Linked DNA regions of Arabidopsis thaliana. The protein of the gene in region 1 interacts with the protein of each later gene in a pairwise test. Each region holds a gene or a part of one and is shown on either strand. Other genes may lie near its edges.

What was found.
Region 2: the proteins of VAMP723 (region 1) and DER1 interact in a protein complementation assay, tested with the Arabidopsis thaliana proteins (one large-scale study listed by BioGRID).
Region 3: the proteins of VAMP723 (region 1) and DER2.2 interact in a protein complementation assay, tested with the Arabidopsis thaliana proteins (one large-scale study listed by BioGRID).

Annotation. Positions count from the first base shown.
Region 1 is NC_003071.7:14,039,428-14,047,389, forward strand, and holds VAMP723 (vesicle-associated membrane protein 723), read right to left. Parts: upstream 3,963-7,962; 5' UTR 3,466-3,962; coding exon 3,276-3,465; intron 2,741-3,275; coding exon 2,599-2,740; intron 2,513-2,598; coding exon 2,392-2,512; intron 2,193-2,391; coding exon 2,148-2,192; coding exon of another isoform or gene 2,073-2,147; exon of another isoform or gene 2,026-2,072; coding exon 1,870-2,025; 3' UTR 1,611-1,869; downstream 1-1,610. Other genes in the region: CSLD1 (cellulose synthase-like D1), read right to left, coding at 70-617; SAR1 (synaptobrevin-related protein 1), read right to left, coding at 4,358-4,507, 4,634-4,696, 4,889-5,009, 5,103-5,244, 5,697-5,910; RALFL18 (ralf-like 18), read right to left, coding at 7,094-7,405. UniProt on the Arabidopsis thaliana protein: Involved in the targeting and/or fusion of transport vesicles to their target membrane.
Region 2 is NC_003075.7:14,440,936-14,449,456, forward strand, and holds DER1 (DERLIN-1), read left to right. Parts: upstream 1-3,617; 5' UTR 3,618-4,001; coding exon 4,002-4,018; intron 4,019-4,615; coding exon 4,616-4,751; intron 4,752-4,857; coding exon 4,858-4,931; intron 4,932-5,018; coding exon 5,019-5,112; intron 5,113-5,361; coding exon 5,362-5,490; intron 5,491-5,572; coding exon 5,573-5,733; coding exon of another isoform or gene 5,734-5,770; exon of another isoform or gene 5,771-5,827; coding exon 5,828-6,017; 3' UTR 6,018-6,302; downstream 6,303-8,521. Other genes in the region: PRF4 (profilin 4), read left to right, coding at 6,783-6,914, 7,175-7,312, 7,398-7,532. UniProt on the Arabidopsis thaliana protein: May be involved in the degradation process of specific misfolded endoplasmic reticulum (ER) luminal proteins.
Region 3 is NC_003075.7:2,456,400-2,463,958, reverse strand, and holds DER2.2 (DERLIN-2.2), read right to left. Parts: upstream 4,107-7,559; 5' UTR 3,825-4,106; coding exon 3,726-3,824; intron 3,632-3,725; coding exon 3,532-3,631; exon of another isoform or gene 3,361-3,531; coding exon 3,146-3,360; intron 3,074-3,145; coding exon 2,990-3,073; intron 2,911-2,989; coding exon 2,857-2,910; intron 2,764-2,856; coding exon 2,581-2,763; 3' UTR 2,220-2,580; downstream 1-2,219. Other genes in the region: CLS (cardiolipin synthase), read left to right, coding at 1-436, 520-586, 670-744, 908-959, 1,361-1,446, 1,586-1,660, 1,749-1,843, 1,962-2,055; KEA3 (K+ efflux antiporter 3), read right to left, coding at 6,469-6,840, 6,930-7,019, 7,113-7,274, 7,364-7,459, 7,533-7,559. UniProt on the Arabidopsis thaliana protein: May be involved in the degradation process of specific misfolded endoplasmic reticulum (ER) luminal proteins.

The DNA.
Region 1 (7,962 bases):
CTGTAATAGACATCAATAAAAGAAGCAGAAAATCTTGAGGGGTTTTAAAATGTGAAAACAAACAATCACCTGTAGGGACTAAGAATTTTGGCCGGGATCTGAACTTTCCTCGTGAGAGGTTTCCATGGCTTGTCTAAGAAATCGGACTTGCTAACGCCACCATCATAGGTATCATCCTCTTCTGACCAAAACGCGTTTCCAATACCGTATTTTCCTTTAGATTCAAACAACCACCTGTTATGATCAAAATCTCCCGTCTGGCTCCTCAACAACATTGATTTGTTATTTGATTTCATGACAGACAATCTCCTCTCCAGCTTATTCCCCATCTTGGGCCCGTCTCCTCCTCCTCCACCTCGGTTAGCATCACCTTTAGACTCCGAGGTGGAGCCAGAGGAGCCAGCAGGTTGGTTGTCAGGTGTTGGAGGCATGAGGACGGTGTAGTTGATGTAATCATTTTGGCCGGAGTAATCACCAGAGACGTCCATGTCATCGTCACGGGAGAGGCTAACAATGCGACCACTGGACGTCCGGCGACCAAACTTGACAGCTTGTGGAGGCCGGCTTAAGGAAGAAGATTGTGAATTTAAGGTCTTCTTGGGTGGACTTGAAGCCATTACAATTATGGAATTATCTTGTTTTGGGTCGTTTGGTTTCTTCAGAGAGAAACTGAACCCATTTTTTTTTATTTTTTTTTGACAAACCTGATTTAGGAAAAGAGGAAAATAAGAAAACAGAGGAATGAGTTTGGAAGGAAATGTAAAAGCTTTAGAATTTCAACGGTTAATAGATCCTTTTCTATTATAAGGAAAACTTAAAACTGAAATCTTTTGAGTTCTGAAATCTCCTTTCTTTGTGCTTTGCCTCTCTCTATCTCAATGAAGGTTGCTTATCAATGGTTAAAAGATTGTGTATAACATTGTGAGAAAACTAGATAGATCAAATCATCGAAAATGATAACAAAGATACACATAAAAACACTCTCTCTAATACAATATCAGACTCTAAAGCTAGAAACCAAGGGTTTAGCTTTACCAAATTTCCCTAATTTAACAAGCATTGAATTTCACATAGGAGGGGAATCAGAAACAATACCAAAGCAGGTCACAGGTGCATTTGGATTACTCATCTCTGTCTGTTTCCTTAACAATGCATCGCAGTCGCAGCTATCCATCGGTTAGACGCCAAATCACCTCCAGTCCAGAAGCCTTCGGACCGGCGTCGGAGGTGTCTCCGCAGGTCGTTTCGATTTCAGTAGTCGAGAACTTGAGCGCGTCGTCTTCAACATGGCTAGCCGACTAATCGTTTAGAAGAATCGAAATCAGACGAATCGTTTCCGTAATTAGGGAAGCAGAAGAGAAAGGTTCGAGCGAGGTGATGTGGCAGCAACGAAAGAAACGAACTAACCGGAGACTCTGCTGAAGGACGAAAAAAAAAAAAAGACTCTGCTGAACCGGTCAGACCAAACAGACTCGTCTCCAATCTAGGCTATGTTACACCGTTATCACCATCACTGCAAATTCGCAACTAGAGCCTTCATTAAGACATCAACAGACCAGAGCAATTTGTAAGTTGCCAATTACATATTTAAATCTCGTCACAGTATTGGTTCGCAAGAATCAGTGTCAGTACCAGTAATAGCAAAAACATTCATACATATATATGGCCTATACAAAACCAATTTCAAAGAAGAAAGGACATACATATATGTATAATATTTATGTACAACCTAAGTAGAAAGGACATAGCAGAAATTAGAAATTAGAAACCACAAAAAGAAAGCAGCACAACGAACTGAATGAAGATATTCTCAGAGATCTTGGGAAGCACAGAGCGCAGTCGATAACGCCGGGAAGAAATGTTCCAGACTTATTTACCGCAGTTGAATCCCCCACAAACCGAGAGGATGATGATGAGAATCAAGGCAATGATAATTGCAAGGACAATGAGTTTTATCTTCATGTTCTGAAACCACTTCTTCCTTTTCATTTGAGTTCTTTTTATATAGAAAGCTTGCGGCTGTGACTGTGACAGTTTCGAGTTCAATTAAAAGTTGGAAACCCAAGACAACATTAGTAAGAGAGAACTGGCAACTCAAGCATATCTATGTGTATGGAACTTAGAACCATATGCCTAAGAGAACTAACCTCTGAACTACCCAGCATCTCACATATCACACCACGGGCAAGAACCTGCAAATGAATGTGTTCCACAATGTAAAAACGGTCAGCATACATGCCTATACAACCCAGAACTGGACATTCCCCTCATCAATTTAAAGGTTAAGGAACCAAAAGATCATGACACTTAACTCATACGAGCTTAACTCTACTGGAAATAGATTAAAACATAAAATTATACCATTAACAGAAAAAAGGGTCAGAATCGAACCTTCTCAATGTTTTCCATCATTAAACTTTTAACTTCAGACACTTGAGCTTTAGCTTTAGCAAGGTTGCTAATCTCATCAGGATGATCCATGCAATACTGCATGTGCTCTTTCAGATTCGACCTTTAGAGCAGCCAAAAAGGAGTCTGTCATTGACATGAATAATACAAACTTCTCAATACCAATCATATAGATCAAAAAACACATACCCAAATTCTTTATTCAAGCTATTTGCTTGATCAGTTGCAGCCTTTTCACCACCATATCTCTTATAAAAATCCTCCTTCACGCGTTCCAAGAAAGCCATAGGAATCTCCCTCCCAGCAGAATCAACTGCAACAACACAATAGGCTGCACAAACATATCCCTCATAAGAAACTTAAAAAATATAATAAAGAGTCCATATGATATGGACCATATCCAACGTCATCAAAACCCAACTAAGTTTAATTAAAACAGAGCAATATAATAAACACAATACACCAATGCAATTTACTCGAGCGATATATATCCACAAATTTCCCAAACAACTCTCATTTGAAAAACCAGCCAAATTCATGAAAACAAAAGCTACACGCAAAGAAGCCAAGAATCATAGATTCATAATAAGAATTGCATAGATGCTTAAATAGATCCACCAAACATATCACTGATTATAGATCTAACATCAATTAATTATCAAACCCAATACATAACTATTCCTGAAATTATACCAAACGGTAAACACATAAGAACTCGACTCAGATAAGTCATAGAGATATACCAAACATAAGAACTCGATTCTCAAATGCTCAATTAGGTAAAAAGAAATCTAATCCAAACAATGAATAAATCGACTAATCGAAAACACAATCACAAACACATCACGAGCAATATTTTGACTCACTGAATCCATTTTCGACGAGGTCGTTGAACGTATGACCATCGCAGTTGTAGGTAAACTTGTTGTTCGAGGAAGGAAGATTCTCAAGGTACTGAGCAGCGACAGATGTGAAATTGCCTTTGAAATCTGTGAACTCGACGAGGATTACGGTGCCGCGAGCGATGAAACTGTAGAACAACGATTGTTGCGCCATTATTTTGGTTCCTTAAAAAACGACGCGAATCTAATTCGATCTTACGGGACCGATATTAGAGATTTATATCGGCGAGCACGAAAGCTTTAGAGATCTAGAAAACTTGACGCTGAAACGCGTAGAGAATCGAAGACTAAGCCAAGTAAAACCACTGACCAAGACAACACGTTTGTCCGAACTTGCATTTGTTCTTACATGCTGCACCACAGTTTTAGTCGACAGGAAGTGGCTGATTTGCCGCAATAAGGAGATCACTTTCATTTCCTGCAAATACACATAACCGCGACATCAGCCGGAGGTGGCTCCGCAAGTCGCCTCGATTTCAGCAGTCGAAATCTTGAGCTCAGCATGGCAATCAATTCGAAGAAATTCCAAAATCTCAGAAAATCAGGCGAATGTTTCCGAAATTAGGGAAGCAGAGGAGAAAGCGTTTGAGCAAACCCTTAATGAACTAACCGGAGACTCTGGTGAATCGGTCAGACGAAACCGTGTTAATTACATATTCATCTCCATTTAATATTAACCGGCTGTGGACTATGCTTATACCTCACTGCAATCCGCAACTAGAGTCTCATCAACAGACCAAAGAAATTAGTAAATTGCCAAGAACAAGTATCGTCCAAATATTGGTTTGCAAGAATTAGTGTCAGTACCAGCAATAGCAACATTGCAGATTGTCGAACATGCATACATATATGTATAATATATATAGCCTATACAAAACAAATTTCAAGAAGTACAATCTAAGAAGAAACATATAGTATGAGAATATAGAAATCACAAAAACAAAAACAAAACAAAAAGGTAGCACAACGAACTGAATGAAGATATTCTCAGAGATCTTGGGAAGCACAGAGCGCAGTCGATAACGCCGGGAAGAAATGTTCCAGACTTATTTACCGCAGTTGAATCCCCCACAAATTGAGAGGATGATGATGAGAATCAAGGCAATGATAATTGCAAGGACAATGAGCTTTATCTTCATGTTCTGAAACCACATCTTTCTTCTCATTTGAGTTCCTTGTGTTCTAAAATCTTGCGCCTGTGATAAAGTCGAGTTCAAATTTAAAGTTAGAAACCCAAGAAACAACAATCAGTAAGAGAAAGCTGCAAACTCTTGCATGTCTCTGTGTGGGTCTATTGACTTTGAACCATTTAGAAAACAAACCTGTGAGCGAAGGTTTTCTGTTTTGTCAACCAAAAGCTCAATCTTCTCACCACGGTCAAGAACCTGCAAACGAATGCATAAACGAGTTAACAACAGAATATGTCTTCACAACCGAGAATAAAACATTCCTCTCTACAGTTTATGCTTTACGAATCATAAGATCCTGGTACTAAAGTCATACAAGCTGAACTCTGTTCGAAAAGGTTTACAACATAAAACTATATCGATAAAAAGAAAAAAGGGTCAGAATCAAACCTTCTCAATGTTTTCCATCATAACACCTTTAACTTCAGACACTTGAGCTTTAACCTTAGCAAGCTTGCTAATCTCATCAGGATGATCCATGCAATACTGCATATGCTCTTTCAGTTTCGACCTTTAGAGAAGCCAAAAAGAAGTCCATCAATAACTATGCCCATGAATCATAGACCCTTTTCAATACCAATCAAAGAGATCAAAAAACACATACCCAAATTCTTTATTCAAGCTGTTTGCTTGAGCAGTTGCAGCCTTTCCACCACCATATCTCTTGTTGAAATCCTCCTTAACTCGTTCCAAGAAAGCCATAGGAATCTGCCTCCCAGCAGAATCAACTGCAACAACACAATAGGCTGCACAAACGAAAACAAAACCGGTCCATTTTAAACTCTATATTAAGAGATAAAGCAATAGATTCATCAATATATCGCTGATAAGAAAGTTAACACTATCATAAAGAGACCATATCCGCCATCAACATCACCCAAAACCCAATTAGGTTTAGTAAAACAGAGTTACATAAAGAACACAATACACTAATGCCAAAAACTTCATGATATCGAAAGCTACACGCAAATAAGCAAAGAATCAATAGATCCAGAACAAAAATTGCAAATATTCATTGATAGATCCACCAAAAATATCACTGATTACCATAGATCTAACATCAATTAATTATCAACGCCAATACATAATTATTACTGGAAACTATACCAAACATAAGAACTCGATTCATATTTCTCAATTAGGCAAAAAATCTAATTCAAACAATGGATAAATCAAAACACAAACAAGCTACGCTTACAGATCGAGCAATATTTTGACTCACTGAATCCATTTTCGACGAGGTAATTGAACGTGTGACCATCGCAGTTGTAGGTAAACTTGTTGTTAGAAGAAGGAAGCTTCTGAAGGCACTGAGCAGCGATTGATGTGAAATTGCCTTTGAAATCTGTGAACTCAACGAGGATAACGGTACCACGAGCGACGAAACTGTAGATCAACGATTGTTGCGCCATTTTTTTTACTCAAAAACGACGCGAATCCGATTTTACGGGACCGATCTCAGAGATTTATATTGGCGAGCACGAAGGCTTTAGAGATCTAGAAGACTTGACGCTGAAACGCGTAGAGAATCGAGGACTAAAAGAGAATACGGTGAAAAAGAAAAGTGTAGGAGAAATCTTAACGTAGTTGAAGAAGAAAAATCAAACCCTTGAGTTTTAGAGGGCAAAAAAGTTATATTTCAGAAAGATTTATGCAGATTGTGCAAATTGAAACAATCTTGAACTTGAGGACCTAAAAGCAAATTCAAATAATCAACTTGTGGGGTTTTAAAAAGTTGGTGATGTTGGTGTAATGGTATTTTGTTATTTGATAGTTTCAACGTATTTTTATCAGCGAAAATGAATTTGGATAAGCTAGTTTGAACTTTGACCTTTGAATAATTGGTTCCTATATTATCTAAATCTACTATTAAAATTTAAAACTTAAAAGTCATCAAAGATTATTACATGTGGTTGGATAATAATTTTATAAATTGTCTTTTTTGGGGTATTTGTAGAAAATTTGGCATATTTGGGGTTTTGGTGTAATCTAAATTAAATGACTAAATAAGAATATTTTCAAAGTTATAGGAAAGTTCAATGGTCTAGTCACCATAATAAATGATAATCTACAATTCTACATGCATCCCATGTCCGCTCCTATTAATTCAAATCTATTTTTTTCTTGATTTAATTGTACTTAGAGGTTGCTTACTATTGTAATATATATACCTGAATTTCACGTGTACACTTCTAAAGTGTATCTTATATTTACAACAAGACTATATTTTGTATTTAAAGTTGAAATTGGTAGGTGTGAATGTGTGATAGTTTTGGAGGAATGGTTTGGAAATATATCGATCGTTTAAATAAAATAAAACAAGAATATGGTGCGAGAGAAGGGATCAATTTGTTTGAACTTGACCGCAAAAATACTTTACGATGAGATCAATTTTCACTCGTCAATCATTTGGTGAGAAAAGGATGACAATTTCTAAACGAAGTTTATTCTAACTCTCTAGGAGATAATGCCTCAAAGGCTTACAAATTGCAATAAAATATAATAATAAGAAATGTGATTGGAAATACTAATTAAAAATAAAATAAAACACACCAACGAAAGGAAGAAGAAGAAGAAGAGAGAGGTGGTTTATGTTTAATTTGTAAAGCGGTAACATCCTGTAGCGGCACTGCAACCACGTCGGTATTTGTTATCCGGTTTATCCGGTTTACCATCTGGTTTGGCTGGTAAGTTTTTCTTCAATGCTTCGTAATCTATAAATCTCTTAGCTTGAAGTATCCTATGGCTCACATCTACACCTGAACTCATCTTCATGATCTCTTCTTTTTCTCCACCGTCCATGCAATTGTCACATTTTACCGGACGAGATCCGACCACAAGCGCTGGAAGCAAAGCTGCCGAGATGATCATCACAGCGATGATCAAGAGCTTCATGTTATTCATCATCGAGACTTATCAAGAGAGTGTAAAGTTGAGAGTAGTAGTTGTTGTTTCGTTTACGTTGAAATGGTTTGTGATGAAACACTTGGTTAATCTACACTTTTATAGAGGTTAATTTTTTTTGTAGAGGTTCATCGAATATTTGACCAGATTCTTACTCGAAAAAGAAAATCAAAATTACTCCGTCAAATTCATGGAATAAGAAATGAATACGGTGCCCAAAAAAGATGAACCTACACAAATAAATGATTCAGTGGATTTGTTTTGCTCTGTATAGTGATCAAAGTCGGTCAATTCGCATAATTAATTGGTCAAAGCCTCAATAATGATTTCCATATATGATAACATTGATGGCTCGTTTTTAACACAAAACTGAGGGGATGCATTGGAACATGATTATAACGTCTTATACTGCCGTTATAACGTCTCCGGTATCAAAGACAAGATACTATAACGAAAAGAAAAAAAAATACTAGAAGGAACGTTATATAAATAGCTATGAGAAAATAAAATTATGGGGTGAGAGAGGCTCGAACTCTCGACCTCAGGATCACTCAGTAGCT
Region 2 (8,521 bases), on another chromosome or scaffold:
TCAGCATGAACATGATGTTAGAGAGACCGACCATGAAATGTGTTGGCTTACTCCCAAAGCAAAAGAAAAACTTTAGATTGAAACTAATTAATGAAAATTTGTGTTTAGATGGTTAAATATACAGACTAACCAAGAATAAACTCCAATCCCGTGTAATTGTTAAAACAATATGATGTAAGTATATAGTATCACAATAATAATTGCAATTATATATAGGCATGCAAGACTCATTCATACCATATGATTGATTCTTGTACAATACAATAGCTCACTGGAAAACCAAAAGAGAAAACGTTTTAACTGAAATCAGTGCTAAAACAGCAAGTTCACGTACATATCCACATAGTTGACTTTTATTTTTATAATAGAAACCTTTTCACTTTCTTTTGGTTTAAGGATAAACGAACTTGTATATGAAGCTTCTTTTAATGAGGTGAAGGAATTTATTAGCGGAGGAAAAAAAAATCATTACTACTTAATACTTATCAACCAAAAAAAGAGAGAACAAGTCGATATTTGTGTTTAACTGTAATTATATGTCTTGTCTACGATGTTGGTCATGGTCGAAATGAATTGTTACCAAACATGAACACTATATATCTCATATTTGACATTGCGTAATTCATTTGACGACCCTAGAGTTTATGATTACTCTAGGTAATTTCAATAAACTTATGGTATTTCGATAGTTAATATATTATGTTGTTCGATAATGGGTCCTCCCATTAAAGAGGAGACTTGGTTATTAAAAATTAGTGATTTGGTTCTTTCCGTATTACGGCCACATGCATGTAATATGCTACGAAATCCTTTATACATTAATTGACGACAAAAATTATAAAGAAAAATAGACATATAAGCTCGAGTAAATTTATGGTAATTCGCATTTCATATAGAATTTTACATTTTATTCCGCTGTTTGGTTAGAGTAATTAGGACTTATGTACCAATTTAGAAGGTCTATATGTTACGTTCCATACTAATATTGTAGGTGATAAAATGCACTTACCTCTCTTGATGTTCATAAGTTATAGGACAATAAAAGCCTTTTGGTAAAGAAAAGAGAGAGAGATACTATTATTGAATGGATTATTGCAAAACTTTAGTACCCTAATTGATTTAAGGAACGTACTATTTGCTTCACTGAAAATGATTCATTGCCATCCATAATATTCTTTTGATATCTTCTGCTCTAACTTGGATATATGTTAGCCAAAAACAATAAAAACATCTCGATCACGTGCAAAGATCTTGAAATAGATATGTCTCTCTATTTTTTAATGTCTATGAAAGGACGTAACAAGTTTCTCTTCTATTTCGCATTTGGTAATACATTAATGTTTTAAGAAGACATTTGCCCAAGTTGCTAATTTTTTCTTTTTTTCCTGATGAATATTCAATGCATCTATGGCTTTGACAAAAAAAGAGATAAAAAATGAAGGAAACAAAATAACCAATGCATGTAAGTAATAATACTCTTCTCGCAAATGAAAACAAAACCTCGAACAATCAATTTACTAGCTATGCGCTAGGGCCAAGCTACTATACTAGGCACTAGGTCCGATTTATTCAGAATCAGTTTTGATATGGATATTGGTCGGATTCGTTCAACCCACTGATTCCAATTTGGTTTTGAAAAACAATGTTCGGCCATTTGCATCCAGAGTTATTTAAATCACGAAAAATATAGTTTGCTATTTATCATATACATACGGAATTTGCATGTTAACACTATTGATCAACTAGATTTTTCTAATGTTATATTTTTTTTGGTGGGGAAGTATTGAACTTACCTTACCACTCTTTTTCGATTCAAATACTAAGAATCACATTTATCAGTTGTGAGTTTAGCTAAATATGTGGGTGGTTTTAAATTTGTGAGTATTAAATTTGTCATTTCTATCACAAAACAATGGGAGAAAAAAACGAAAAACTAGTTTCCCGACATTAAACATGCGAATTACTGAAACATGGATAGGTCCACCATTTTTGCCATTTGACAAGCTCGGTCTCTTGTTTTCCTTGTTCATAAATGATTTTAGTTTGTTTGCTTTTTTAAACGCATCTTTCTATCACTTTTTTCTTTTGGTTGCAAATATGTCGTTTTCTCTCCTCCCTCCTTTTCCGGGATTTAACTTATCACAATGTAATGAAATTTGCATGTTCCTCTCTCGCCATTGGCAAGTTCCATTGCGATGTCTCTATCGATAGGTCAAACAATCCAAAAGAACCAAAACCTTTTTTCTTTTCTTTTCCACTCACATTTAATCTAGGGACCCTTTAATCTTATTCATTTTCTCAACGATAATGTAAAAAAGTATAGTTAGTAAACTGTTAACTGTGTAGATTATACATGTTTTTTAATCAATCATATAATTAGAAGGGGTATTTAGCCGTCCAAAAGCTGTTTTCGCGTGACTATGCATGAAACCCACTTACGTAGCCTCCAACGTAACGACCAATAAAAAGCTCTAACTTAGGAACATTACAACGAACTAATATTTAATAAGTTATATAAGGTCATGAAATGAAATCTTATAACGTATCTAACAACTCACATGATCTATACCATGTCACATTTTTTATCAAACATATGTTAACCACCTAAGCACTAACACTACTCTTTGATCAAACTTATATTTCGCATATACTCCAAAAGAAACCAAGTGGCATATTGGCATATCTCGTAATGTGGTGCCAAAAATGCTTATCAACTTAATTATAGTTCAGATATTGTCTCCGTATCGTATCTTAATATTTGTATTCAACAATAGGTATTATGTTGTATTAGCTAGGTGTGATTTGTAACGAGAAGAGATATCTCGTTCTATTGTGAGGTAAAAATAAAATAAAGCAGTACAAGAACATAACGGTATAAACGGTTTTTACTGTTAAAAAACTTGTAATTGTTTATGTACCAACCCTATTGATTGTGTTTAAGAAATTATTTTTAAATCTTGAGATTCTTATTCAAATATAAACATTGAAGATCGATATTGCTCAATATCACAATAATCTTTCTAAGTTATGAAAAGAACGTCTACTACTATTTGTTTAAAACTACATAGGACAACATCAAATCAGTTTTGAAATTCATTGTAAAATTCTTTTAATACTAAAATTGTTTACAGTTAATGAGAAATTACAATATTATTTTTAGCAGATTATAATTAGAAAATACATTATTATTATTGATCAATTTACCTTGCAGTTCCACGCAAAACCAACAAAATAACAAATAACAAAGCATTGTGTGGAATGACGTAAGGATGAGTCAGCAGACAAGGAGTGAGATCGAATCGGGTCAAGATTATCTGGTTGGGACCCGTCACATGCACATGGACCCTCTCCCGTACCTAATCCAGGTTAAATAATCTTGATTTTCTGTTTAATTACCTTAAAAACACATTATTATTGAAACTAATAATAAATCTCGGATCTTTGGTTCCGACCATACTTGCGAAAGATCATTGCTTTAATGCTAATGTTTCTCTAATTTTGATATTCCTTGAGATTAGATTCCCTTTGCATTGTCTTTTCTTGTTAATTTGTTAGGGTTCATATTCTTACATTATTTTTTTTGGCAAAGAAAAAAACATTTATAAACATATCTAATTCGAGCCTGATCTATTAATGGGTCAAATAAAAGCCTCTTTGGCCCAATTCAATAAACTGGCCAACTGGGGATCATCATAGAGACAGACTACTAGAGAGTAGAGACGCATCAGAAAGAAGAGAAATTGATCCCACAAGTTTAAACACGATTACAAATTAAAACGTGCCACGTATTCAAGACGGTGAATTAACACGACGTGGCAAGGTATGATTGGATAACTTACGCAGCTGCCTAACAAAAACAAGTGATTTGAGTTTTCAGATGATTAGAAGGAAAAAAAATTCTGGAACTTTCGAGCTTCTGTTTTGCGGTGCTCTCAAAGCTTATATCGGATCTCGAATCTTGAATCGGACTCAGAACCTCGGATCTTCGAAAATCGACGAACATGTCTTCTCCTGGCGAGTGAGTTCCGTTCCCCTCTATTGAAACTTTGCTTCGATTCGATTTTGATCGAGAGATTCTTAGCTTGGTCTTCGTACCCAGGATTTTGAGTCCTTAGGTTAATAATTTTCATGATTCGTTTAGCTTGTATAGGGGTTTTTGAAGCATTCAACTGTTGATTCTTCTCAATTCGAGCGTAATTTTGCAACACCAAGCGAGTTCTGTGAACTTGAGCTAACGCTATTTTTAGTATATAGTTATCAATTTGCATTGTCATCATTTGATATTTTGGTGATTTGAGATGTAAAGAAACATCTTTTATGCCATGGAAGTTAGTACAAGTCAACTGGTAGTTAGTTCTTGAAATATGGAATCTCATAGTGTCTTGAAGCAAAACTGTTCTCGTTTGCTGTATCATAGTTACAAGGCTACTTTGATTCTCCTAGCTACGATAGTCTAAAATATCTCTGCGTAGGCTTGTCTCTTGTGGTAAAGTTTTATGCTTTAGCTGATCTTGATGACATTTCCTGATTAGAAATTTATAGATGGATGGAATATGTATGATTTTGATTGTTTATCTGTCAAATTGTTTCTTAGATCGCTTGTTATTGATTGCAGATTCTATAACTCACTTCCACCTATAACCAAGGCTTATGGTACGTTGTGCTTTTTCACTACAGTAGCCACGCAGCTTGGCTTAGTTGCTCCCGTTCACATTGCTTTAATTCCTGAACTTGTACTTAAGCAGTTCCAGGTATATGATTTATTCTTTTTTATGATTTTCCTTTCTTTCTCACAAATCTCTGTCATCCTAAGTTCCTAATTCATTCTGCAATTTTTGATCTATTTGGTGTTTGTAGATCTGGAGGCTGATAACAAACTTGTTTTTCCTCGGTGGTTTCTCTATCAATTTTGGAATACGTCTTTTGATGATGTGAGCATACTATTTTCACATATATAGATGAACAAAGCTAATTTCGATTTTTATTATCTTAACATACTCTTTTAAATGATTGTGCAGAGCAAGATATGGAGTTCAACTCGAGAAAGGGCCATTTGAAAGGCGGACAGCAGACTTTTTGTGGATGATGATCTTTGGATCCTTCACTCTATTGGTATGTAAAGCCTCCCCTGTATTCTATTCTTACTGATCATTGTTATTGGTTCTTTGAGAACCCCAGTACTAGTATGTGGTATGCCACAAAGTAGATAATCGCTGGTACATAATATCCCAAAGCTGAGAAGATCAGAAGCTCTCAAAGAATTGAATCAGGGTTGCATTTTATTAAAGCGAGACAAAATTTTGGAAGGTATTCATACTAGTAAATCCGTGTGTTAAAACAGTTACCTTGTTCAAATTTCAGGTATTATCAGTCATACCATTTTTCTGGACACCGTTTCTTGGTGTTTCACTTGTGTTCATGCTTCTTTATCTCTGGAGCCGAGAATTTCCAAATGCCAACATCAGCCTATACGGTCTTGTCACTCTTAAGGTATTGAAAGTGTTTCTTTTGTAATCAAATCCACTCCTTGGTATATATAATGTTAATGGTGAAAGTTGGAATTACTCCACAGGCTTTCTACCTCCCATGGGCAATGCTAGCACTTGATGTTATCTTCGGTTCTCCGATCATGCCAGATCTTCTTGGCATCATAGCTGGACATCTATACTACTTCCTAACAGTCCTTCATCCTCTTGCTACCGGAAAAAACTACCTGAAAACCCCAAAATGGGTGTATCCTTTATTCAAATTCTCGATTATTTCCAGATGATTGTTTCTCTCGCTTCTCAGTTTTTGTTTTGCTGTTGTACCTTGACATTCTCAACAGTAATAAAATCGTAGCAAGATGGCGAATTGGAGCTCCAGTTGCAAGTGTTCGACAAGCAGGTGGTGTAGGAGCAGCAGGACCCGGAGCTGGAGGAGGAGTAGGAGGAGGAGGAGCTTATTCAAGCGCTCGTGCCCCACCCGAGAGTTCAAACACAGCATTCAGAGGTCGATCATATCGTCTCACCGACTGAAATAGAAATCTTCTCGAGTTTCTTTGTTTTCATCATATCAAATCTTTTTCAAACAATGCCACTAACTAATCCCAGGTAGCTTTGTGTTTTCGAACAGTACAGTTTTTGAATATATGACTCTGTAGGAAGAATCTTTGAGGTTTTAATACAATGTTCTTTTCAAAATGTGGTTCATGTTTCTATGTTTTTGTTTTTGTCTAGCAATCATCTCCTTACTAAATTGAATTCGATAAACTATAGCCACTATGAATATAATCAAATGAAATTTGTGACATAAGAATTTGGACGTAACGAGTTTGAATATCTATCTAGATAAGTTATTAAATTCGTGACCAAAGAGTTTGGTCGTAACAAGTTTGAATTTTTTAGGACATAATATTATTATTGGCTAACAAGATTACGACTAACGAGTAAATAATCATTCCTTCGGTCCTTCCTCTAAAATGCCGTTGGTGATCGTTTATAAATAGGGGAAATAGGAAAAGGGAAGAAAGTAGACGTGGCAAATAGCGAAACAATGATTGAGCTATAACAAAGGCGAAACTTGAGCGGCACTAATTGAAAATCACTCCTTGTTTTTTTGAAGAAAAAGTAAGATGTAGGGCTGAGAATTCGTCTATGTGATCCAACGGTTTTAAAATGATCCTTGTTCCTTCCTCTCCTATTTATCTGAAGGACGAAGTCCCCACGCTGCACATAACCGGGGCACTTAACGTATAGATCATAAACAAAGAAGAAGAAAAAAAATAAGAAAAGAAGAAGAAGATGTCGTGGCAAACTTACGTTGATGAGCATTTGATGTGTGATGTTGGCGATGGTCAAGGACACCACCTTACTGCTGCCGCTATCGTTGGTCATGACGGTAGCGTTTGGGCTCAGAGCGCCAACTTCCCTCAGGTATTTGATTTCATTGCGTCTGATCTCAATGTGATTTAGATCCTGATAGTGTTGCTATCCGATATGATATGTGTTTTTACAATGTGATTTAGATCATGCATCATGTTTTGATTAGATTCTATCAATGTTTGTCATGGGATATATATATAGTGTATTTTGTGTGTGTGTGTTTCTTTTTATATGTTTTGCATAGATTTGAAAACAAATGATGCATGTTGTCTCATGGTAATCGACTAATCGTGATTTGGTCTTTCATATAGTTCAAGGGACAGGAGTTCAGTGATATTATGAAAGATTTCGACGAACCGGGTCACTTGGCACCCACGGGATTATTCATGGCAGGAGCAAAGTACATGGTGATCCAAGGTGAGCCCGGGGCTGTAATCCGTGGCAAGAAGGTAACCTAATCAGTAGCTTCATGATCAGATATGCAAATACCATGTTGAAGAGGGTTCTAATTCAATATATGCTTCTTTCAATTAGGGAGCAGGAGGCATAACGATAAAGAAAACAGGACAGTCATGTGTGTTTGGGATCTATGAAGAGCCAGTGACACCAGGACAGTGCAACATGGTCGTCGAGAGGTTGGGTGATTACCTCCTCGAACAGGGTCTCTAGAATCTTCTTACAATGTTCCACCACCTACATTTTTTTATAAGGCCATTGTTTCTCCTATTTTTTTCCTTTGGGTGATTTGCATCTCTTTCTCTAATTGATATTATAAGTTTTGGGCTAATGGACCTTCCTGGTTTCTCCCCATAGCAAACTTTTAAGAAAGCTGAAGCCTAAAAGGCTTTTACTCTCTTTGCCTTGGTTTCTTATTTATATGCATGTTTTAGTTGTTTTCTCTTTGCTTTTTTGTCAATTGCATTCTGTCTACTACACTAAATATTAACGTATTGATTGAGAAAATTGCATTATCATAATCTATAGAAAATTGTATGTAGTGTAGTAGAGACATTAATCTCACAATACTAAAAACACTTTCAAAATTTACACGAGCATTTAACACATACATCAACACTCATTATTTACAACAGAAGAAAAAACTGATACGCAACGCAATCTTTCCTAGTGATTTCATTCGTAAGAAAGAAAAAATGAACATGAGAAAGAAAAATGGCAACAGGCAGAATTCATTCATCAACTTTAATCTTTAATAGGAAAGTAATAATAGTACAATTATGTCGGAAAATCATTCCCATCCCATCTGTCTTTATTATGTGCTAATCTAACAGCTCATCGAGAAATCGAATCTCAGTCTTTTTTCCCTATTATTACATTATCACTTAGATATAAGGAAATTTTTGTTATCTCACAATATTCACTTTGAATCAATACGATGCACATATAACAAATTAACAATAGCAAGTGATTGTTTCTCTTCAATAACTCAAAAACATTTTTTTTTTTTTTGGAATAGAAAAAGGTTTATTAACCATCTTTCTAAATTTTGGGTAATTAAGAAACATTTATTGACAATGACATTAGGAAAAGAGAACATTAATTGTAAAGGGTGGACCTAAATAATTGGAATATTTTGGTGTATGGCACACAATGCAAGAGCATATCCACCCTGTAAACAAATTATGGCCATACTTCGATCT
Region 3 (7,559 bases), on another chromosome or scaffold:
GGAAAACAAGACCATTCTTCACCGCCGCTACAGCTTCCGGCGGAACCGTTTCTCTGACTCCACCGCAGTTTTCGCCGTTGTTCCCACATTTCTCACACCGTTTATCTCCGCTTTCGAAATGGTTCGTTCCTCTTAATGGACCTCTCTTCTTATCTTCTCCTCCTTGGAAACTTCTCCAGTCTGCGACACCTTTGCACTGGCGCGGAAACGGCTCTGTTTTGAAAAAAGTCGAAGCTCTGAATCTTAGATTGGATCGAATTAGAAGCAGAACTAGGTTTCCGAGACAGTTAGGGTTACAGTCTGTGGTACCAAACATATTGACGGTGGATCGCAACGATTCCAAGGAAGAAGATGGTGGAAAATTAGTCAAGAGTTTTGTTAATGTGCCGAATATGATATCAATGGCGAGATTAGTATCTGGTCCTGTGCTTTGGTGGTAAGTATAGAAGTATATATTCCTCAGGAAGATAATATTAGGAGAATGAAGAATCTGAGACTTTGTTTGTGGTTCTATTGTAGGATGATCTCGAATGAGATGTATTCTTCTGCTTTCTTAGGGTTGGCTGTTTCTGGAGCTAGTGATTGGGTATGCATCTTCTTTGTGATTCTTTTTTCTTTTTTGTAGTATTGGAAGAAGAACATTGTATTAATAGATGCTTGATTTTGTAGTTAGATGGTTACGTGGCTCGGAGGATGAAGATTAACTCTGTGGTTGGCTCGTACCTTGATCCTCTTGCAGACAAGGTAAAGTCTTTCTTTATCTATTATGTGTTTTACTTTGTTGGCTCATTGTGGATGTTCTCTGAATGTGTTTGAGAGTTAAGGTTAGTTTCAAGCTGCAAACATGTGTGAGGTTTCATTTCATTTCAATTCCGTTTTCTTGATTGTGCTCGTGTTTTGAATTCAGGTTCTTATCGGGTGTGTAGCAGTAGCAATGGTGCAGAAGGATCTCTTACATCGTGAGTATTCTTCTACCTCTTTTACTCCTGGTAGATAATAAGTTAGCAGTTACAATTGAAACTTTGAAATAGCTAGAGTTCACAAAGTTGAAGGGCGGAATTTTCTCTTATAAGGAACATGTGCTTTGATTTACACTCCAATTGAGTGATCGCCTGGGAAAAATGTATCAGAATTGTCGTATTCATAATTTCATAAGCACAGTTATTTGATCTCCTTGAACAAACCTCCTTACAAGATTGCATGGATGTATCAAGAGGAAACCGTACTAAGTTAATTAACTAGTTGCTAAACTCGGCTGTGTGTGTTAGTCCTAGATTGCACTACTACCTTTTAAACTTCTTAAAAATCTTTGATACTATACTCAATTTTGGTGGATGCATGGGACATTTGTGCTCTAAAGCTGGACTGGTTGGAATTGTGTTGTTACGGGATGTTGCACTCGTTGGTGGTGCAGTTTACCTAAGGGCACTAAACTTGGACTGGAAGGTGAATTTTTGTAACTTGAGCTAGACCACTAAACTAATTTCTCTTGTTTCCCTACATTTTTTTCCTGCTCGACCATATGCTTTAACAAGAACACGAATAAATTTATTGATGGGAATCATATTGGTCTTGTTTCTTTCAGTGGAAAACTTGGAGTGACTTCTTCAATCTAGATGGTTCAAGTCCTCAGAAAGTAGAACCATTGTTTATAAGCAAGGTATGATCTCTAGGTGATACAGCTTGTTCTCATCTTGGCATCTTTGGTATGTGTAACTGATTTGTTAATGGAACATGTCTATCGACAGGTGAATACAGTTTTCCAGTTGACTCTAGTCGCTGGTGCAATACTTCAACCAGAGTTTGGGAATCCAGACACCCAGACATGGATCACTTATCTAAGGTAATAGGTCTTTTTCGAATTACCACACAGCTGGACTAATCACTACCCTTAAAGTTATAAACATATGAAGTGTGTTCTCTGAAATCTTGTTATTGGTCTCATGTTGTTTTGTATCCAGCTGGTTAGTTGCTTCGACGACTATGGCTTCAACTGCAGCTTATGGTGTACAATACTGGAAGAAGAGACCTATATCTATGATTAAGAGATCATAGTTTCTAGTTTCCAACATTTATAAACTTCACACACGAGGCACATGCTTAATTAAAGAAGCTTGAACATGTCTTGTTGTTTTCCGGAATACGCAGCTCTCACTGTTTTCTACTGCTAACTGAAATAGAAAAGGAAAAAAAATGTACTAAAAGCAATGAAACATTTGTTCTGATATCTGAACAAAAGTACATTTCTTCTGATATCTGAGTCGGGCAGTGAATTCAAAACATGTTCCCTCGCTAAAACATTGCGACACTAGTAGAGGTTGTGTACAAATTGAGTGTGTTCATATCAATAACCACTAAAAGCAAACGATGTTTGTATACACAAAAAGATGAAGAGATGGGAGGAAAGAGAAGGAACCAAAACACACCCAACTACTAGAAACTAGGGTGTGTGGGTCGCAACTACGTGTCAGAGTCAAAATAGACTTTTGTGTATCATCTGCCTTTGCACCATTTATATCTGATCCACAAGCCAAACTACTGATTCGGGTGTTTAGGTTTGGGAAATGTAAGATGACAGAATCAGTCTTGGTGGATTTCATCGAAAGGCGCAGCAGCAAACCTCACATCTTCTGGCCGTGCAACCACAACTGGTTCATCTGCAAATAACGCTTTGAGGAATGATGGAGTCTTTAATGGACGACGATTAGTCATTCGCGGATAAACCTCAGCCAGAAAGTAGTAAGCGTGACCTGCTATCATACCCTGAAATGTTTTGATCAGACTGAAGTTAACTTGGGTGACAAAAGATCAAAAGAGACTGGAGAAGAAATTTTTTGGGATAATCTGAGTATATACCAAAAGATCCACCCAAGCACTGGCACCAACAAGGATAGAGAAGCCAAGAAGCACCTGCAAAAGCCAGAATTTGCAGAAGATGTTATTTATTCATTCCGGTGGAAGTTTAGGGAAACGAGAGAGTTAAACTCACCCATGGTAGGTAAGCTGCTGTGAAGGTGAACAGACCAAGGAAACTCATGTGAATATAAGGATTTTGTTTGCTCCATACATAGACCTGTGGAACACAAGAGACTATAAGCTGATATTTAGAGGCGACTTAGATTTGTGGGAAACAGAAGTTACCAACCATCATGAAAGTTAATGAGTTGCTGAGGAAGATGATTTTAGCAAATGATGCTGACAAGTATGGTATCATTCCACCGATAAGTACAATACCGGTTAAAACAGATGCTCCAAATAGGAGCATGTATAGGAAATCAGCAGTCTTTCCCCTGAATGAGTTTTCTTCAAGGAGTTTGCAGTATCGTGCGAGAAAGAACATATGGAACATGAAGTCCAAATCTACAACAACCCCAAACACATATTTGTTTATAAGCAATCAATCAGTCACAACGCTATTAACAAGTAGCAGCCTAGAGCTAATAATGTGACAAAGACAAGAGCTTCATATGAAAGTAATAAGCACACAAATGTTGTATCCAGTTTCATAGAGTAGTGTTAAGGGAAAATTACCCATCTTCCGGAAATACAAGAAATTAGTAACGAGACGCCAATATTGGTATTGCTTCACCACAAGTGTCGGATTCAAATAAAGGTTATATGGAGATATGATCTGCAAAACAAAAACAATCAGAATATGAAACCCTAATTTAGAGAATTTCAGAGAACCCCAAAAAAGATTCGCGAATAAGCAAGCAAGCACGTACATCGAGGGAACATCCGACGGTGGTGATAACAGCCGCCGTGAGATAAGAGCGAGTGATAATCGGCATCTGTTTATACCATTCTTCTACAGCCTGAGCCATATCTTCTCCGTAATCGCAATCGATCCGATCAATCAAACACAGTAAAAGCCCAACGGAATCTATGGAAGCTTCTTCTTCTTCTTCTTCTTCTTCTTCTAAGGTTTGCAATGAGTGTATTCAGATTTCAAATTTCACCAACGCACAACTTCGAAACGAACGACGAAACTGAGAGATTCGTCTTCTTCGTTTGTTTTGTATATACAGAAATTTATATGTGTATAATAGTTTAACATTTGCGATATTTGTTTAATTACATGAGCACGACTAATCAGCAAGCGCGTGGATTACATCAGCTATATACTATTTTTTTTCATCAATGTATTTATAATTTTGGGTCGAGTCTTAAACAATATCTGATAACAAAAAAAGTATTTATAATTTATATATCATTTTAGAAAAGAAAAACAGAAAACTAAAATCTATAACTAAAACTAAAAAACCTATGATTACAACAAAAAATACTACAAAGAAAGCACAAACGATATCAGTAGTCGTTTGAAGAATAAACATTGTCTGAGAATAATCTGTGAAGCTCAGACATCTGCGTGATTGTCTCAGCTCCCAAAAAACTCGAACCTTTATTTTTATTGCCACGAACAAACCTTAGACGAAGTCAGTCCTCAAAACTCATATAAACAAAAATATCACTTGATATGCTTCGAAAACTTGTTAATTCACTCTCTTCATTTTGCACTGTTTGCCCAACACTGTTAACAAAAATTTTACACATGTACCCCTATATTATCGATTGCGTAAGTTGTAGCTTGTAGAGGGATATTATTGCAGTAGTGTAGAAGAAGATTTTATGTAGATATATTTGGGAAGTTGTGTTATTTTATTAATGGTTTTTTTTTCTTACGTAGTTACTCGTCTCTTTCCAGTTTTGTATGAAGATAAGAGACTGTCGTTTTGAGGCGTAAGAAAAAAAGAAATGATTCCTCCAAATTCTTGTTTTATTTCGTTCTGTTTTTCGAACAGAAGTTCATCTATCAGATTTGTGCTTTGTTCCTCGCGTCTTTTGCTAGTAATCGATATAGATGTTTCCTTTTTATTTTGATTTTGACTTCCTATCTTGAGTTGTTTTACAAGGATTTATGTTTTTTTTTCTAGGAACGATGCTGCCGATTCTTCTCCCTCCCCGTCTGATTGCTTTTGGCAAAGAACTTCGCGGCGAGAGGATTAATGTTTATCAGAAGATAAGGGATTAGCGTGATACTAATGTTATCAGAATGTGTTATCGCCCAACATTGTTACCATTTCAACCTCTCGGCCTTTGTTTATGGGATTTTTTTAATAAATTAACTAAAATGATATCGTGATTAGCAGCCACGAAATTATTTTGTTATTGGTTATAAGATTATCGTGATACCGTTGATTATCAGAAAATGTAAATAGTTTTGATTATTTTTGCAAAACATCAGAATACAACCTGCGAAACTCTCATTATTGTTTTGCTTATTTGCTAGAAGGTATATCGACTAACATTGTCACCAGCTAAGCTCGTTGAGACTTAATTTAAAAGGCTACAAACAAGAGGCTCGCGTTAGCGGATAAGAGTGTATGTTTTAATGTTACCGAAGCGTCTCACTAGCTTTGATTCGTGTCAAAACACAAATTGACATCGTCTCGTTATTATTTTAATTATCTGCTAGTAGTTTTAACGACTAACTTCGTTACCATTTCCACTTGTAGGCTTTTGCTTATGGGTTTTTAAAAAAAAACTAACTAAACGTTATCGTGTTTATCAGATACAAACTTATCATGTTAGCCGTACACGGTTAGTAATCAGAGAGTGTTATTAGTTTTGCGTTAGCAGATACGAGATTATCGCGATACTAATATTATTAAATAGCAATATAAGTTTTGATTCTTGTTCAAAACCCAAAGCGACAACGTGTGGAATCGATATGAAATTATCCTGTTATCAAATTATCCTCGTACACAATTGTTTGAGACTTATTTTAAAAGGCTTCGAATAAAAAGGCTCGTGTTAGCAGATAAGAGATTATCGTGATATTAATGTTACTTAAGCGTCCCACTATCTTTGATTCGTGTCGAAACACAAATAGATATTATATCGTTATGTTTATAATACCCACAACCCCATAAATATCATACCCGCAACCCCATTTTTTATCATGCATAGTTTATTAATTTTCCGATCATCTGAGTATAGATAGTAATATAACCCTAAACAAAACGACTTAAATTACAATTTTATGAGGGATTATTTGATCAAGGATTAAAATCAATATCTATGTTTTAAGATTTAGAAACTACTTTTTTTCTTTCTAAATTTCCATGTTTAATTTGTGTGGATTTCATATTTTTTTACTATATTTTTTTTTGTTTCTTTAGTAATATAATCAAATCTGTTTCAATTCATTTCATTGTAAAGACCAACATTGGATTATGTTCGAATTTATATTGGCACTAATATCCATGATTCAATAGTACCTAGACAGTGAAGATATTTAATGAATTTGAGCTAACTATTGGCTTTTTAGCGACAGTGATAGTGAGGAAAAATAATAATAATAATAATAATCACAGAAAAGAAAAGAAAAAATTGTTTCTTTTAGTTTGGAATATTGGCTGCACATTTCAGAAAAAAAAAAAAAAGTGTTAGAATTTTTGAGCAATTTTAATCTTGAGCTTTATCAGCTTTACCAACAAATCCATTATCTATATTCACAGAAGAATCATCAATCTCAGGAGGCTGACTCAAACCAGCTGTTTCTTGAAGAATCTCTGCTGCAGAATCTGAGTTTGAATCAGAAGCTTTCATTTGCATTGGCTTCATGAGCTGGACTTGTTTTTGTGTTGCAGCAGACACTACGTTTATATCAGATGCTTTCATTTGCATTGGCTTCAAACCAGCATTTGTTTCACTAGCTGTGATTTCTTCTTGAGCTTGTATCTCCATTGAATCTCTGAAAACTTTACTTAGAAAGCTTACGTCGTCAGACATTACTCCAAATCCTGTCAACAGCTTCGAACCGAGCTGTAAACTTGTCTATAAACCCGAAACAAACAACCAAACTCGTTCAGAAAGAAATCTTACTGTGATCATAAAAGAGCAGACATCTTTTGGAAGTTTTTTACCTCTGCATTTTCGAGAATTGCATCTGTGGCTCCTGCTTTCTTTAGTTCAAGGAGATGCGGTAAATCTTGAGCTCTTGCGTAAATAGGACTCTGGTAATATGTTAAAAGGAACAGTTGTTGTCACTTAAACTTGATGTCTCAAACGATTTTATTGACAAAAGGAAGAAGGAAGAGAGAAATAACCCCGGGGAAGGCAAGACGGAGTCTTTGAACAGCCTCAGTGGTTCTCTTCTTGCCTTTATACATTATCATGATAGCTTTAGGAGATGAAACCCCTGCAGATTGCAAAACCGATGGTCGAGATCCGTCTCCATACAATATCGGGAAACCGAGTTTCCTTGATTCCTACCAAACCACCACCATAAAGAAAAAACTAGTTTAGAATGCCAAAAATTTGATCAGGTCAGGAACAAACGAAGTTATCTGTTACAGACCTTCACTACAGCAGGATTCAGATCAAAACCAATATAAGGCCATCCCACAAGATCACTATCTGAGACCAATGGCGTTGACAAAAAATTGGCCAGAACCTGCAAAATCATATCGACTCGATGAGAAACCACTTAGCACAACTTTTCCAGGAAAGCAAATGATGACTTTTACCTGACCCATTTGTCCAAATCCAATGAT